Linked DNA regions of Saccharomyces cerevisiae S288C. The protein of the gene in region 1 binds, or shares a complex with, the protein of each later gene. Each region holds a gene or a part of one and is shown in the gene's direction. Other genes may lie near its edges. The genes, in order: BRE2, SET1, SWD3 and SHG1.

Evidence for each region.
Region 2: the proteins of BRE2 (region 1) and SET1 are in contact, whole or in part, in a cryo-EM structure (PDB 6BX3), measured with the Saccharomyces cerevisiae proteins. Residues at the interface, in NP_013115.1 of Saccharomyces cerevisiae: Gly118 (codon at 2,264), Trp119 (codon at 2,267), Glu194 (codon at 2,492), Ala195 (codon at 2,495), Phe199 (codon at 2,507); in NP_011987.1 of Saccharomyces cerevisiae: Arg973 (codon at 5,140), Pro975 (codon at 5,146), Val976 (codon at 5,149), Glu978 (codon at 5,155), Met979 (codon at 5,158).
Region 3: BRE2 (region 1) and SWD3 share a complex: the UniProt entries of both Saccharomyces cerevisiae proteins name them as parts of the set1C/COMPASS complex.
Region 4: BRE2 (region 1) and SHG1 share a complex: the UniProt entries of both Saccharomyces cerevisiae proteins name them as parts of the set1C/COMPASS complex.

What each region holds. Positions count from the first base shown.
Region 1 is NC_001144.5:173,315-177,317, forward strand, and holds BRE2 (Bre2p), read left to right. Parts: upstream 1-1,912; coding exon 1,913-3,430; downstream 3,431-4,003. Other genes in the region: PPR1 (Ppr1p), read right to left, coding at 1-1,668; PML1 (Pml1p), read right to left, coding at 3,488-4,003. UniProt on the Saccharomyces cerevisiae protein: Component of the Set1C/COMPASS complex that specifically mono-, di- and trimethylates histone H3 to form H3K4me1/2/3, which subsequently plays a role in telomere length maintenance and transcription elongation regulation.
Region 2 is NC_001140.6:343,820-349,785, forward strand, and holds SET1 (histone methyltransferase SET1), read left to right. Parts: upstream 1-2,223; coding exon 2,224-5,466; downstream 5,467-5,966. Other genes in the region: protein channel TOM71, read left to right, coding at 1-449; ORC6 (origin recognition complex subunit 6), read right to left, coding at 502-1,809; mismatch repair ATPase MSH1, read left to right, coding at 5,755-5,966. UniProt on the Saccharomyces cerevisiae protein: Catalytic component of the COMPASS (Set1C) complex that specifically mono-, di- and trimethylates histone H3 to form H3K4me1/2/3.
Region 3 is NC_001134.8:580,433-583,886, forward strand, and holds SWD3 (Swd3p), read left to right. Parts: upstream 1-1,975; coding exon 1,976-2,923; downstream 2,924-3,454. Other genes in the region: SMY2 (Smy2p), read right to left, coding at 1-940; UMP1 (Ump1p), read right to left, coding at 1,294-1,740; ECM31 (3-methyl-2-oxobutanoate hydroxymethyltransferase), read left to right, coding at 3,288-3,454. UniProt on the Saccharomyces cerevisiae protein: The COMPASS (Set1C) complex specifically mono-, di- and trimethylates histone H3 to form H3K4me1/2/3, which subsequently plays a role in telomere length maintenance and transcription elongation regulation.
Region 4 is NC_001134.8:729,234-731,980, reverse strand, and holds SHG1 (Shg1p), read left to right. Parts: upstream 1-1,818; coding exon 1,819-2,247; downstream 2,248-2,747. Other genes in the region: YBR259W (uncharacterized protein), read right to left, coding at 1-1,594; POP4 (RNase P/RNase MRP complex subunit), read right to left, coding at 2,257-2,747. UniProt on the Saccharomyces cerevisiae protein: The COMPASS (Set1C) complex specifically mono-, di- and trimethylates histone H3 to form H3K4me1/2/3, which subsequently plays a role in telomere length maintenance and transcription elongation regulation.

The sequences.
Region 1 (4,003 bases):
TTTTGAAGACGGATTTGGGCTTGGTAAGTCTGAGTAGTCGTCAATTTCTCGGTTAGTTAATGTGATGAAGGAATCGTCCAAAAGGCTAGGATACCTGGTGGTGATGCTTTCTTCAGGTATACCAAAAGGTCGACCAAAATACGAGCAAATTTGCCGATCTAAGGAGTAAACGCACCAAAATAGACGCCTGCGTATTTCTCTGGTAAAGGCGTCATAATTTTTATTAATTTTTTCCGAATGTAGTCCTAGGTCAACCGTTAGTCTTAGTACAGAACCCATAGTATACCAAACACCGGGGACATTAGGTCTCATTATTGAATAGATTACCATGAGCAAAGTGCCTGCCAATGCCTCCAACCTGTCTGAAGATGAAAATAAAGATGCAATATATTTAGTAGCGCGTCTCTTATATGTCGCGACAGTAGTAATATCTGACTTAAGTACCTGCGTAGCATGGCCAATAGCAAATATAATGTTTAAAAAAAAATAAGGTATGTGAAATTTTGTCGGTAGTTCAACTATCGGACGCATGTTGACTTTTTGAGATGTCTCCCAAGTGTCATACCATGGAACATCCACGGAAGAGCATACGTCAATCTTCTCAGTAACGTTCTCCCTTTTTGGTTCAGTATGCGCACTAAAAGCACTGGTAATTGGAATTTCGAACGCGCTATTTATGCCTGTCTGATCAGATGCCAATGCAATATTGGGATTCCAGGGACCATAAATAGGTTCAAAGTATTTTTTCAGGAAAAGTTCTCTATGCAGCAAAGGTAACTGGGAATTAGTATCTACAAAAAACCTGGATATCATAACTTCAGCGGCATGTCGAGGTGGTAGTTCCAATGGATCAAAGTGTGGATTGTTTTCAGCCTCTGCATATCCATTGTATTTCTGTTCCCTTTGTTTAATATCTTCATCCAGAACGTCATCTCCGGAATCTTGACGAAAATTAGTTGCCGTGAAGACTAATTTCGCAAAGGAAATACCCGATGAATCTCCTAAAAAAGAGTTAAAACTACTTTCTCTCATCGTGCCCAGCGCACTGATCTCCTTATTACATCGGCGTAGCTCTTCCGCTCTTGCATCTGAAGTCATAGGGCTGCCTGTCTCGGGTAATAAAGCGCTACCATCTTGTTTTTTTGAGTTTACCAGAAATTCCTTGCGTTGTACATTTATAGTCTGTGGGCTTGCCATAGACTTGCTCGTTATAGCTGAGGATGCCATAGAATTCCCTTTCTGAACCAAATAATCCGCCAATAAGCCATTATGTGGCAATATTCCCTCTTCTCCCAAAGATGAAACTGAACTGTACTTTTTCAAATCAAAAGGTTCATCATCACTTGTAGCAGGTATATTTCCTCGTATTTTCGTGGGATCTACTCCATATTCTTTCAACACACGCATCATGACAGCCAATCTATCTTCCAGAAAAAAGACGTAAGATCTTGGAACGTCCTTTCCGGTGGCTGGGTCCAAAGAAACACATGGTACCTCTAATTTTGCACACCTCTTACAGCTAGGAAACTCCTGATCACATTTAATTTTTTTCAATCGACATCGTTTACATGCAGTTCTAGATTTGGAAATTCCTATATTAGGAGAATCTCCTCTTTTTGATAAATCTGTTCTATTACTTTTTTTGGAGTTAAATTTTTTCTGCTTCATGATTTAATCATCATCTTCGTATGTTTTATGTACTCTAAAGGGTTACTCCTGTGCGAATAAAGCAAACCACTTTACGTTACTAAAATTTTTCACATTTGGTATTGTGAGTATTTTATGAAGCTCATCGCGGTAAAAGAAAAAAATAGAGAATCTGTGATTATAGTTTAAAAAGGATGTAGACAAAGGATATCAGCGATAAAGGTGGCCATAATTGGACGAAGACAAATAATTCACTTCCTTAATAATGAAGTTGGGTATTATACCTTACCAGGAAGGTACTGATATTGTTTACAAGAATGCTCTCCAGGGTCAGCAAGAAGGGAAGAGACCTAATTTACCACAGATGGAAGCAACGCACCAAATCAAGTCATCGGTTCAGGGTACAAGTTATGAGTTTGTCCGCACAGAAGATATTCCATTGAATCGAAGACATTTTGTGTACAGACCGTGTTCCGCAAATCCCTTTTTCACTATTTTGGGGTATGGCTGTACAGAATACCCATTTGACCACTCTGGAATGAGCGTCATGGACAGATCTGAAGGGTTGTCAATTAGTCGAGATGGAAATGATCTGGTAAGTGTCCCGGATCAATACGGTTGGAGAACTGCAAGAAGCGATGTGTGTATTAAAGAAGGAATGACGTATTGGGAAGTGGAGGTAATTCGTGGAGGAAACAAGAAATTCGCAGACGGTGTTAATAATAAGGAAAATGCTGATGATTCAGTAGACGAAGTACAAAGTGGCATATACGAAAAAATGCACAAACAAGTGAATGACACCCCGCATCTACGATTTGGAGTTTGCAGAAGAGAGGCCAGTTTAGAGGCTCCCGTAGGGTTTGATGTGTACGGGTATGGTATTAGAGACATTTCGTTAGAATCTATCCACGAAGGAAAATTGAATTGCGTCCTAGAAAATGGTTCGCCATTGAAAGAGGGTGATAAAATCGGATTTCTACTGAGTCTTCCTAGCATTCATACACAAATCAAACAAGCTAAGGAGTTTACCAAAAGAAGAATTTTTGCACTGAACTCCCATATGGATACGATGAATGAACCATGGAGAGAAGATGCTGAGAATGGGCCTTCAAGGAAAAAATTAAAACAAGAGACAACGAACAAAGAATTTCAAAGGGCGCTATTAGAAGATATTGAATATAACGACGTCGTCCGCGATCAAATCGCCATCAGGTATAAGAACCAGTTGTTCTTTGAGGCAACGGACTATGTAAAGACAACGAAACCGGAATATTATTCTTCTGATAAGAGGGAAAGGCAAGACTATTACCAGTTAGAGGATTCATATCTTGCTATCTTTCAAAATGGTAAGTACCTAGGCAAAGCATTTGAAAATTTAAAGCCGTTGTTACCACCGTTCAGTGAGTTACAATACAATGAAAAGTTCTATCTTGGATATTGGCAACATGGTGAAGCTCGTGATGAGTCCAATGATAAAAACACAACCAGTGCCAAAAAGAAAAAGCAGCAACAAAAGAAAAAGAAGGGATTGATACTCAGAAACAAATACGTAAATAATAACAAACTGGGTTACTATCCAACAATCAGCTGTTTTAACGGTGGAACAGCGAGGATAATTAGTGAAGAAGATAAATTGGAGTACCTCGATCAAATCCGATCAGCTTACTGTGTTGACGGGAATTCAAAAGTTAACACACTGGATACATTGTACAAAGAACAGATAGCTGAAGACATAGTATGGGATATAATCGATGAGTTGGAGCAAATTGCCCTACAGCAATAAAGCAGCATTCAAAGAAGAATAATTAAAACACACTGAAAGTGTGTTTCTTATATATGGTTATACATTCATGAAGATGAGTTCGTAATCGTTATCTTCTTCAAATTCTGAAAGTGTAAGGACGTCACCACTTCGTAGCTCTATATATCTCGCTCCAGGAATTACAACGTTGTTCAAACATGTCCCATTGGACGAATCCAAATCCATTACATAACATTTCAAAATGCCACGAACGTTCCTGAACTGGATGACGCAGTGCTGCTTTGAGGATGTTTCTTCGGGTATACCAATGTCTGCGACAACGATCTCCGTTCTATCGTCGAGATCTGTATCCAGACTGTGGCCCAGTTCACGACCGACTAAATAACAGCTCCTGCCGTTCAAATCGTATCTTTTCCACGGTCCTTTATCCTTGTCATTCTTTCTGTATATCACTAGTTCATACATAGTCCTATCTCGCGCCTCCAGTCCTAGCATATCCATGTAGTTATCTGGAGAAATAGCGTCCTGCGGCTCCACATGTTTTAAAGCTATACCTTCTTTGTTATTCGACTCCAGCTCTAACAGACCGGAAGG
Region 2 (5,966 bases), on another chromosome or scaffold:
CAGATAGGGGCGATTTTGATACTGCAATTAAACAATATGATATTGCTAAAAGGTTGGAAGAAGTGCAAGAAAAAATACATGTGGGTATAGGACCCTTGATTGGGAAAGCAACTATATTAGCTAGACAATCCTCTCAAGATCCAACCCAGTTGGATGAAGAGAAATTCAACGCAGCCATTAAGCTGCTGACAAAAGCCTGTGAATTAGATCCACGATCTGAACAAGCGAAGATCGGGTTAGCACAACTAAAATTACAAATGGAAAAAATTGACGAGGCCATAGAATTGTTTGAAGATTCTGCAATTTTAGCAAGAACTATGGATGAAAAACTTCAAGCTACTACCTTCGCGGAAGCTGCAAAGATACAAAAGCGTTTGAGGGCTGATCCAATCATAAGTGCAAAGATGGAGCTAACATTAGCTCGTTATAGGGCTAAAGGCATGCTTTAGAAGATATGTCAGGTATTGGTCAAATATATACTTTTAGTTAATACTGGATATGTTATAAAGGTTCTGTTAATGCCAAATCCATTTCAATTCTTTTCTTCCAAATATTGTACTGGTCGTCTGTGACCAAAATATTGGTGGTTTGTAACATCGATCCCAGTTTCCTAAATATAATTTCATCGTATCTGATGCCATCAAAATCATCATACCTAATTTGCAAATCTCTGAACCATTTTTCACCGATAATTAATTCCTTCACTAATTTTACACATTCAATAACATCATCCACTTTTGACGTCAACATCAAGCTGCACATCTTACTGACTATAAAATGGTCAATTCTTGGATCCTTGCGTCTTCTTTCATTAAATACAATGAATGTACAATTTAATACTAACCCACACACTAATTGCCATGGGCAAACCAATCTTGACGCGTTTATGTTGTACTCATCCACAATTTTATATGCTACTTCTCTTGGTAATTCAAAATCGTTGCAAAGCCGTATTATTTCTTCAGTAGTCATTTTGCAATACTTCTTTACTAACAAAGAATTTGGTATTCTGCCCCTTTTCCTCAGGGCTTTTGCCGTCTTCAATTCTGATTGCGGTTTTCCAACTGCCTTATTTTGTTTCGTTCTCCCGCTTCTGCTTTCTTGCACACCTAATGGCTCTTCCTCACTTGTAGGGTCACTTTCATGGTTTTCATACTCATCAGAATCTACATTTCTGGTTCCAGTAATGCTCTTATTACTATGGCTTTTTAAAGACAAACCGTCGTTTCCTGGTTCCTCTTCATCCTCATCCTCATCCTCTTCAAATGCTAACTTTCTCCTAGTAATAGACGGCGATTCATTGGTTTGCATGGGGGGTAGTTCTGGTATTACGAACGAATCATTATTTTGGCTTTTCCTAACTTTAGTTGGTGTACCAAACAGTTGATTCCTCAACTCTTTCGGATCAGAAGAAGTAAACCTCCCACCGTTCTTTACTGGACTGCGTTTGTTCTTTTTGGGGCTCGGTGTCCAAGCAAATTGTTTCATAGGTGAAGAATTAGATAAACTTTGTCTGAAAAGGTTCATTAAATGCTTGGCTTTTTTCGGCTCCAAGGGAATACTGTCTATATAATAGCAAAGGTCAGGCATGTGTTTTTCATTCATTTTCTGTGACGCTATGTATGCACATATGTGACATCTAGCAACCTCTTCATCTTGTTTCAGCATTACCTTGTTCAGTGAAGTATTATATAAAATCGATGTCGCATTAGTCAACTTCTTCAAATATCCGCTCGACCAGTCCGGTTTTTCTTGTGGATCTAGTCGAAGTACTTCTGCGACACAATGTTGGACTTGTTGCATGGACATGACTGGTTTTAATGGTATTGTTTTGGCCAATTTTATTTACTGATATTGTACACTTTTTTCTGCAATTTTAGTGTGAGATTTTTTTTTTCAATGCCGATTTCTTACTAACGTAAACAACGGCAAAGAACAAAGAAATACACAGTTTTATCACAAAGAGTTGATTTTTGCTGAAGAGAAGCGTGAGGAGTGTATTCGAAAGCCTTGCATATTCTGGACACTTGCGATTCTAGCTCTTTACGGACGCCCGCATTCTTTTTTCATACTCTGTTTCGTGCTGCTTTCACACAATATTTTTCAAAAGTTTCTTCTCATCGTTTTTCTGTTAGCAACCCTCAACTTACGAGAGAGTTGCGACTAGCATAGGTAACATTCCTTATTTGTTGAATCTTTATAAGAGGTCTCTGCGTTTAGAGAATGTCAAATTACTATAGAAGAGCACACGCGTCTTCTGGTTCATACAGACAACCCCAGGAACAGCCTCAATATTCGCGTTCTGGTCACTATCAGTATTCAAACGGCCATTCTCACCAACAATATTCTAGTCAATATAATCAACGTCGACGTTATAACCATAATGATGGTACAAGGCGACGCTATAATGACGATCGCCCACATAGTTCAAACAATGCAAGTACGCGACAGTACTATGCTACTAACAACAGCCAAAGCGGCCCATATGTAAATAAGAAATCTGACATCAGTAGTCGGAGGGGCATGTCTCAATCACGGTATTCAAATAGCAATGTTCACAATACATTAGCGTCTTCGAGTGGATCTCTTCCCACAGAATCTGCTCTGCTTTTGCAACAAAGACCACCTTCAGTTTTGAGATACAACACAGATAATTTGAAGTCTAAGTTTCATTATTTTGATCCCATAAAAGGCGAGTTCTTCAATAAGGATAAGATGCTTTCGTGGAAGGCTACAGATAAAGAATTTTCTGAAACAGGTTATTACGTAGTCAAAGAGTTACAAGATGGACAGTTTAAGTTCAAAATAAAACACAGACATCCGGAGATAAAAGCATCCGACCCACGTAATGAAAACGGTATCATGACTAGCGGAAAAGTGGCAACCCACAGAAAATGCAGGAACTCACTAATTCTATTGCCTCGCATATCTTATGACAGGTACTCCTTAGGGCCTCCCCCTTCATGTGAAATAGTTGTCTATCCAGCGCAAGATTCAACAACAACCAATATCCAAGACATATCAATAAAAAACTATTTTAAAAAGTATGGAGAAATTTCTCATTTTGAAGCATTTAATGATCCTAATAGCGCTTTACCTTTGCATGTTTATCTTATAAAGTATGCCAGTTCTGATGGAAAAATTAATGATGCAGCAAAAGCAGCCTTTAGTGCCGTTAGAAAGCACGAATCTTCGGGTTGCTTTATCATGGGCTTCAAGTTCGAAGTGATTTTAAACAAGCATTCCATTTTGAATAATATCATTTCTAAATTTGTTGAAATAAATGTCAAAAAGCTACAGAAGTTACAAGAGAACCTGAAGAAGGCTAAAGAGAAAGAAGCAGAAAACGAAAAAGCAAAGGAATTACAGGGCAAAGATATTACCTTGCCCAAGGAACCTAAGGTAGACACATTATCTCATTCGTCCGGAAGTGAAAAAAGAATTCCATATGATCTCTTGGGGGTAGTTAATAACAGACCTGTTTTACATGTCTCCAAAATATTTGTTGCCAAACATAGGTTCTGCGTTGAGGACTTTAAATACAAGTTAAGGGGATACAGATGTGCGAAATTTATTGATCATCCAACTGGTATCTATATTATTTTTAATGACATTGCCCATGCGCAAACATGTTCGAATGCAGAGTCAGGAAATTTAACAATAATGTCTCGGAGCAGAAGAATTCCTATTCTAATAAAGTTTCATCTCATTCTCCCTAGGTTCCAAAACAGAACTAGATTCAATAAATCTAGCTCATCTTCAAATTCTACAAATGTACCTATAAAATACGAGTCCAAAGAGGAGTTCATTGAAGCTACAGCAAAACAAATATTAAAAGATTTGGAAAAGACTTTACATGTTGATATTAAGAAGAGATTGATTGGTCCTACGGTATTTGATGCTTTGGACCATGCAAATTTTCCTGAATTGTTAGCTAAAAGAGAACTAAAGGAGAAAGAGAAGAGACAACAGATTGCATCTAAAATTGCTGAAGATGAATTGAAACGTAAAGAAGAAGCCAAAAGAGATTTTGATTTGTTTGGTTTATATGGTGGCTATGCAAAATCTAATAAAAGAAATTTAAAAAGGCATAATTCACTCGCGTTGGATCATACTTCTTTAAAGAGGAAAAAGCTATCCAATGGTATCAAACCAATGGCACATTTACTGAACGAAGAAACCGATTCCAAAGAAACTACCCCATTGAACGATGAAGGGATCACTCGCGTATCAAAAGAACATGATGAAGAAGACGAAAATATGACATCTTCATCTTCTGAAGAAGAGGAAGAAGAAGCTCCAGATAAGAAATTCAAGAGTGAGTCTGAGCCAACCACCCCCGAATCTGATCACCTTCATGGTATTAAGCCGTTAGTACCCGATCAAAATGGGTCGTCTGACGTACTGGATGCTTCTTCGATGTATAAACCTACTGCTACCGAAATTCCCGAACCTGTATATCCACCTGAGGAATATGACTTGAAATATAGTCAGACTTTATCTTCTATGGATTTGCAGAATGCTATCAAAGATGAGGAAGATATGCTAATTTTAAAGCAGTTATTGAGCACATATACTCCTACCGTCACACCAGAAACAAGCGCAGCTCTGGAATATAAAATTTGGCAATCTCGCCGAAAAGTTCTTGAAGAAGAGAAGGCTTCCGATTGGCAAATAGAGCTTAATGGAACTTTATTTGATAGTGAACTACAACCAGGTAGCTCTTTTAAAGCTGAAGGGTTCAGGAAAATTGCGGATAAATTAAAAATTAATTACCTACCCCATCGTCGCAGAGTTCACCAACCTTTAAATACGGTGAATATTCACAATGAAAGGAATGAGTACACACCTGAACTTTGTCAAAGAGAAGAATCCTCGAATAAAGAACCTTCAGACTCAGTTCCTCAAGAAGTTTCATCCTCTAGAGATAATAGGGCATCAAATAGAAGATTTCAGCAGGACATAGAGGCACAGAAAGCCGCAATTGGTACGGAATCTGAGCTGCTATCACTAAATCAATTAAATAAAAGAAAAAAGCCAGTTATGTTCGCTCGTTCAGCAATTCACAACTGGGGTTTATATGCTCTAGACTCTATCGCAGCAAAGGAAATGATTATCGAGTACGTTGGTGAAAGGATCAGGCAACCTGTAGCAGAAATGAGAGAGAAAAGATATCTGAAAAATGGGATTGGATCCAGTTACCTTTTTAGGGTTGATGAAAACACGGTTATTGATGCCACCAAGAAAGGTGGTATAGCCCGTTTCATTAATCATTGTTGTGATCCAAATTGTACGGCAAAGATTATAAAGGTTGGCGGGAGAAGGAGAATTGTTATCTATGCACTGCGTGATATCGCGGCAAGCGAAGAGTTGACATATGATTACAAATTTGAGAGAGAAAAGGATGACGAGGAAAGACTTCCTTGTTTATGTGGAGCACCTAATTGTAAAGGTTTCTTGAACTGACGATGATACATTGATTTGTTTGGAGCTTCCTGATTTAACATATCGTTGCTTTCCAGCAAAAGGTAAAGATAAATACTAAACTGTATACATCTATAAGTAATCTCGGCCATTATTTTAACGATTAGTACTTTTGTTCGTGTCATTTTTTTGGAAAATTTTGCGATCTCTCACTGTTGAAGAATAAAGATTTCGCGATGACTTTTGCTTGCAGAGAAATGCCTGAAAACACGAACATTCAATAATATAGATGGTACATAACATATGCGCAAGAAAACGTAAAGGCCACGGATGAAGCATTTCTTTAGGCTACCGACAGCATTCCGGCCCATTTCTAGGGTTTCCTTACGATATTCTAGTACTGATACCGCTCAACCAAAAATATCAAAACTCAAAATTAGTTTTAATAAAATTTCTGAATCAAATAGCGAAAAAAAAGATAATTTGGGTTCAATTGACACACGAAATTGTCTTTCGACTCAGCAAGATGACAAACTATCAAG
Region 3 (3,454 bases), on another chromosome or scaffold:
CGTTTTCAGTAGCTTTAATAGTGCCAGTAGCGGCAACACCGCTTGCGTAAGGAGCTAGATTCAAGTTGATAGAATCAGAGCTGGTTGTTTGAACGTGAAGTTTGTCAAAAGTAGTGAATGGATCCGTATCATACTTCTCGAGTTTAGTCATTAACTCACCAAGTGTGATGAAAATATCGTTTATTCCTAGCGTTTCTGGAGTGCTTCCCAATCTTGAAATCTGAAGGGTTGAAGCAAAATAGCCACCTATGTACCATTGTGACATCATTTGGGTAGTAAATGGACCATGAATCTGTCCCTGCGTGTCTATGTACCTCCAACTGGATTCAACTGAAACTGGTGCTGGGAGTTGTGACATTCCGTTCATGCTCATATTAGGAGGAATATCAGAGGACGGAAACAAATTGACATGAGATTGGGCAGCAGTTGGTGTACTTAATGGAGTAATATCTACCGCCAATGAATGTGTACTCAGATTCACTCCAAGATTAGCAGCATAACTAAAGGAGGAGGAGGACTCGTTTCTTTGCAATAGTGGATGCTGCTGAACAGGCGTACTAACCCGTGATTCAGGATGGTCGCCGTGCCAAAAAGAGGAACTCATTACTCCCGAACTTTGAGGAATAAAAGGCTCTTTCATAGAAGAAAATGGTGACGCAGCACGCTGTATACCAATAGAATCGATTAAGGAAGACGTCCTACTGAGTGGATGTCGACCTCCTAAAAGAGGTGTATTGGATCTAAACGTCGATCCAGGGACTGTATTCACGCTTGCAGCAACAGCACCGTTTGTATTGTTATTAACGCTCGCAGGGGAGGAATCCAGGATAGTAGAAACACCGTGTGTGTTATTGTTTTCTGTATCGACTGAATCTAGTTTTAAGTCCTTAAACTGTTCATCAAAGGAACCGAATAATCTTTGCGAGTCTGGTGCTATCATTATTGATGTGGGCTGAGAAGTTGAGTATATAGGGGAGGAGGAAGGAAGGTAAAAGCTCAAGGAGTACGAATGGAAATGATGAACTCGAAGAGACCACTGAACTGCGTGTGTGGGTATTTGTAGTATTGTGAAAAGTTCCAAAAGGCCCATCAAATCAAATCAACCTATAAGTGGAAATATGAAAAATTTTTTTTTTTTTCAGTGCGACTGAAAAAAAGGCATAGGGTAATTGCGGACTATATAGGACACTAAAAATATAGTGTGGCACAACTATGTAGTATAAGTATTACGGCACTAATCTAATCTTTTCAATGGTTTACGTGACAGATGTATAAAGAAATTGAGAGCAATTTTTAAATGCCTAATTGTTTTTCGATTTTGCTGTGGACGTCATCACCTACCATGGTGCTGGCTTGTAGGCCAGTACCAGGGTAGACGTCCTCCCAATCGATGCTGCACTCTTTGTTCAGTAGTATGTCACGGTGTATACTACCGTTTGTTGAAAGGGGGTTGAAGTCGGTACGATTGACGATTTCCATTTCCATCGTCCTTTTCATTGGTTCGGCAATGCCAAATATTTGTCGATACTGTTCCATTTGTCTTTGGCGCTGTGTGGTTTCCCAGTTCTTCAATGTTGATTCTAATGGATGTCTGTCATTCAATTGTGTGGAAAGAGGTACTGCACCGCCTTCTTGCTGGCGTAATGTGTCTGGCAAGGAGGGCACTGCAGATGAAAGAACACTTTTGTCTTGATCTGTAGAGACTTGAGATTTAAAGGTATCTTGTGGGACGATATTCATAGTTGGTATGCAGGCTGTTTCTGGTCTTGTCTATTTAATACTCATTCCCTCTCCAGTGAGCAGGAAACTACATAATATACTTTAATAACCTCAGGTAGGATAAAATTGCCACTGCATGGTTACCCGAGGAGTGAAAAAAGCAAGACCATAAGAAATGCTTGTGCATCACTGGCGGTAGATATTGGAAAGTTTGAGCGTAGGCTCATTCATTTGCAAGTGGCCATTATATGCTAACATGTTCCAGTTTGTTACTCCTGTGGGAACACAGAATGGATTGAAAGCTACTTGTGCGAAAATATCTCCTGATGGGCAGTTTCTTGCTATAACACAAGGACTTAACATCCTGATATACGACATTAACAGACGAACTGTATCACAAACACTAGTCACATCACATGCCAGGCCTTTCTCAGAGTTATGCTGGTCTCCAGATGGACAGTGCATAGCTACTGCATCGGATGATTTTTCTGTGGAAATCATTCATTTATCTTATGGGCTGCTGCACACTTTTATCGGCCATACAGCGCCAGTGATATCTCTGACATTCAATAGAAAGGGGAACTTGCTGTTTACATCCTCAATGGACGAAAGTATCAAAATATGGGACACACTGAACGGGTCTTTGATGAAAACAATATCTGCACACTCAGAAGCAGTTGTGTCGGTGGACGTACCCATGAATGATTCATCCATTCTGAGTTCAGGTTCATATGACGGGCTCATACGGATCTTTGATGCAGAGACGGGCCATTGTTTGAAGACATTGACCTATGACAAGGATTGGAAAAGAGAAAATGGTGTGGTACCCATCTCCCAAGTTAAGTTTTCTGAGAATGCAAGATATCTCCTGGTGAAATCGCTGGACGGTGTAGTGAAAATATGGGATTGCATCGGGGGTTGTGTAGTTCGTACTTTCCAGGTTCAGCCTCTTGAAAAGGGCGTACTGCATCATTCCTGCGGTATGGACTTCTTAAATCCTGAAGATGGATCCACTCCTTTGGTGATCAGCGGTTATGAAAATGGCGATATATATTGTTGGAATTCTGATACAAAAAGCCTCTTACAGTTGCTCGATGGTTCTTTATATCACCACAGCAGCCCTGTAATGAGCATACATTGCTTCGGTAATATAATGTGTTCCCTTGCATTGAATGGAGATTGCTGTTTATGGAGATGGGTTTAAAGAATCTGCGTTATGTACACGACAGACATTCCCTTAAGGTGTAACACAAGAGTATATATAGATATATTATAGACGTTTAAAAGTTTTAAGGGATCGGATTTTCAGCCAGATATTTTTTACTTTATTCTAATTTTTTTTTTTATTTTTCACTGCTGCTGTCTTGCGTGATGAGTAAGATATCCTAAAAAACTACTAAGGGAAGTTCGGGCAGCTTTCAACATTAAGTGTTCACATCTCGAAGAACTCGCGCCTTAAACCAGCCTATACAAAAGCTTAGTACAGATTACCTACTGCATTGATAGCTAGCATCTGTCTTGTTAATAAATTAGCTTGCCATAAAATTAGGGAAATTTTTACTCACAATATGAATATAATGAAAAGACAATTATGCACCTCCTCTAAGCGATTTTTTTCTACAGCAAAAAACGTTGTCAAATATAATACGATTCAGGATATCAGGAACAAATATTTTACTGGTACGCCTTTGTCGATGTGTACTGCGTATGACTTCATTACTGCAACATGGGTTAA
Region 4 (2,747 bases), on another chromosome or scaffold:
TGACACCAGATGAAGTTTTGTCATCACTTGTCACTGTTACATTTTTGAGTGATTCTATGCTAGACTTGATCAAATTATTTATCGCATGTACCAAAGAGGGTTCTAGAATTTGGAGAGATTCTATTACTAGCCGTTCCAAGCAACCTTCCATGAAATATAGTTGAGCAAACTTTGCACCGTAATATAATATCCTTTTAAAAATACTGGGCAGATAATAAATCCGAAAAAACTTTCTCTTCTCAGGTAAGTAATATCGCAGCAGCGATATAATTGCATATATCTTGTGAGAATCAAATATTGCTGATGCGTCAGGTGTAGGTGTTTGCTCATTTGTGTAAATCTTTGGATATACTTTGTCTCGCCACAACGGTTCATCATTATCAATAAAATGTGAGTATTCATCGATAGGCGAAACATGCATTCCAATTTTGTTACCATCGTCTAAGATAGAAGAAGGCATATTATGACTTTTCCTTCTATCCTGAGTTTTCGATGACGTCATCAATGTGCTGTAATTATTTTTAAATTGGGAATTCAAGTACTTTATCACTTGAATATGAAAATCTTTAACGTCATTAATGTGTTCTTTGAAGTTTTTTCTCAGTAAGCGCAAAAAGAATATACCATCTGCCTTCGTATCTACCTGTTCCTTATTGAAATAAGGAAACATATCATTAAAAATAAGGGCACGAATTAAGCTTTCAACTTTATCATTACTATCCCACTTTAAAGATCGTATATGCGCAAAGTCTTGAACTAATGCTTCTTCCCCATAAGGCCGGAATGCGCTGAACATATTTTGAAGGTCATTTAATCTAAGAACGGCAGAAGAAATCGAAGAGAACACAAGATTTTTGGATGTCCAGATTAATTCAGCACCGTCGATCCTAACTTGCTCTCCAGTGAATGCATCGATACAGTTGGCGACATAAACAATCTTTTCCCAAGGTATAATGAGTTCTTTCAGAGGATCGCTAGATTTTTGAAGATCAAAATTCTCGTAAAATTTCACCAAACATTCTTTGAGTTTCATTCGAAATTCGTACATGAACTGGAGTTGCCTTTTATCATCAGAATCCCATTTCCAAGACGAATACTCAGCCATTAGTTTGTAAAAGATTTGAAAGTTAGATCCATTATCTGGCCATCGCTCTTTTTTAATGAACTCATCTAAAGATGCCACCCAGAATCTTGAGAGTGTAAGCCCGGTAGTTTGGACTTCGGTTTCTAAGTAGTCGATTGCTGCAAACTTTAACTCGTAGTATTTCTTCATGCCGCAATATTTGTTTATTTGTCCACTCAAAGCTTGGAAGTGAGATTGATATATGTAATTTAAATGGAGGAATTGCTGAACATCTGTTTCTGAGGAAAACTCTGACGATAGAGACGCGACACTGGAAAGCAGCGCCTTTTTGATGCATTTGTATATTACTGTTTTACCGCTGCGAGTTTTATGGTGGAAACGAACGGTACCTTTTGAAGATGCAATGATCTGGGCCAGTTTTTCTGACTGTATAACAATCCGCCTTAAATTGCCAGTTGCTAGATTGCCTATAACATCTCTATATCTGGCAACAGCCTCGTCAATGGACATGACTATAAAATAAACTACACCTTAAAACTGAGTTCATATACCGCTTGCTGCTTCCATATTAAACACTTTTCGTTGTATAAATATGATGGCCTTTTTTTTTGTCTTATTTTTCTATATCTTGAAAACGAGAGATACTAGAGAAATAATACGTAAGAAAATCAGTTCTTTATTTAGCGAAGCTGAAACACAGTATAAGAGAGTAGAGCTTATTTCAAATCCAAAAAATGGCGTATAATCAAGAAGATAGTAAAAGACTATCAGACAAGTATAAGAAGGAGGGACATTTTGACAAGTTGAAAAGAGAAATATTGTCTAACCCATGGAATAATACAGAAGAGAATAGTGAATCTTTTGAACAAGCGCTTCGGAAAAGAGTTGCCAGTACTGTTAAAGAAATGGTTAACGAAGATGAAGAATTAATATTTAAAAACAGAGGGCTAACCAGTGCATTGATTGAATCACAATTGGTCAAGGACAACTACCTAAAGCTGGGTAGTAAAATGGAGGGGGATAATGGTGATGGTGAGAAGAAATTTGACTTGGATGTCTATGTACGGTCTAAGTTACAGGATCCCAAACTATTGGAAATGATAAAGGGACAACTTCAGGAAACACTGAACTCTTATGAAGAGGAAGCAAATGGAAGTACGTAATAACTCTTACTAATTCTGTATATAATATAGCATATCATCACAACGACGACTTTTGAACTTCCTGCCTGCACGATCCACACTTCTGTACTTGAACCTATCGCCTAGTATACTATATCTCAATGCCGAATCGTCGTCATCTGATATTGGGATTTCAAATTGAAATACTGTGCCCTTTTTTGGAATGCATTTTATTTCGTCTATTATATTGCCCTTGACAATCATGATAAAAAATTTCTGAGAGTCCCAGATCACAATGCCTTGAAGGCCTATTAAAGTCTTATTTTTGCTCTTTGTAACGCGTAACAGCGCACCATTATAGTCTGCCATAGATAGTTTTAATAATGCTAATGATCCATTGAATGTTTTTAAGTTTTTTGTAATGTTCAAAAGTTCTTTAATATAGTTAATCCATAGTTCCTTATACATCGGTACAAAATCAACGTACTGCGGTAATGATTCGTATATCGTTGGATGCTTCTCCTCTATGTAGTGTAAAAGGT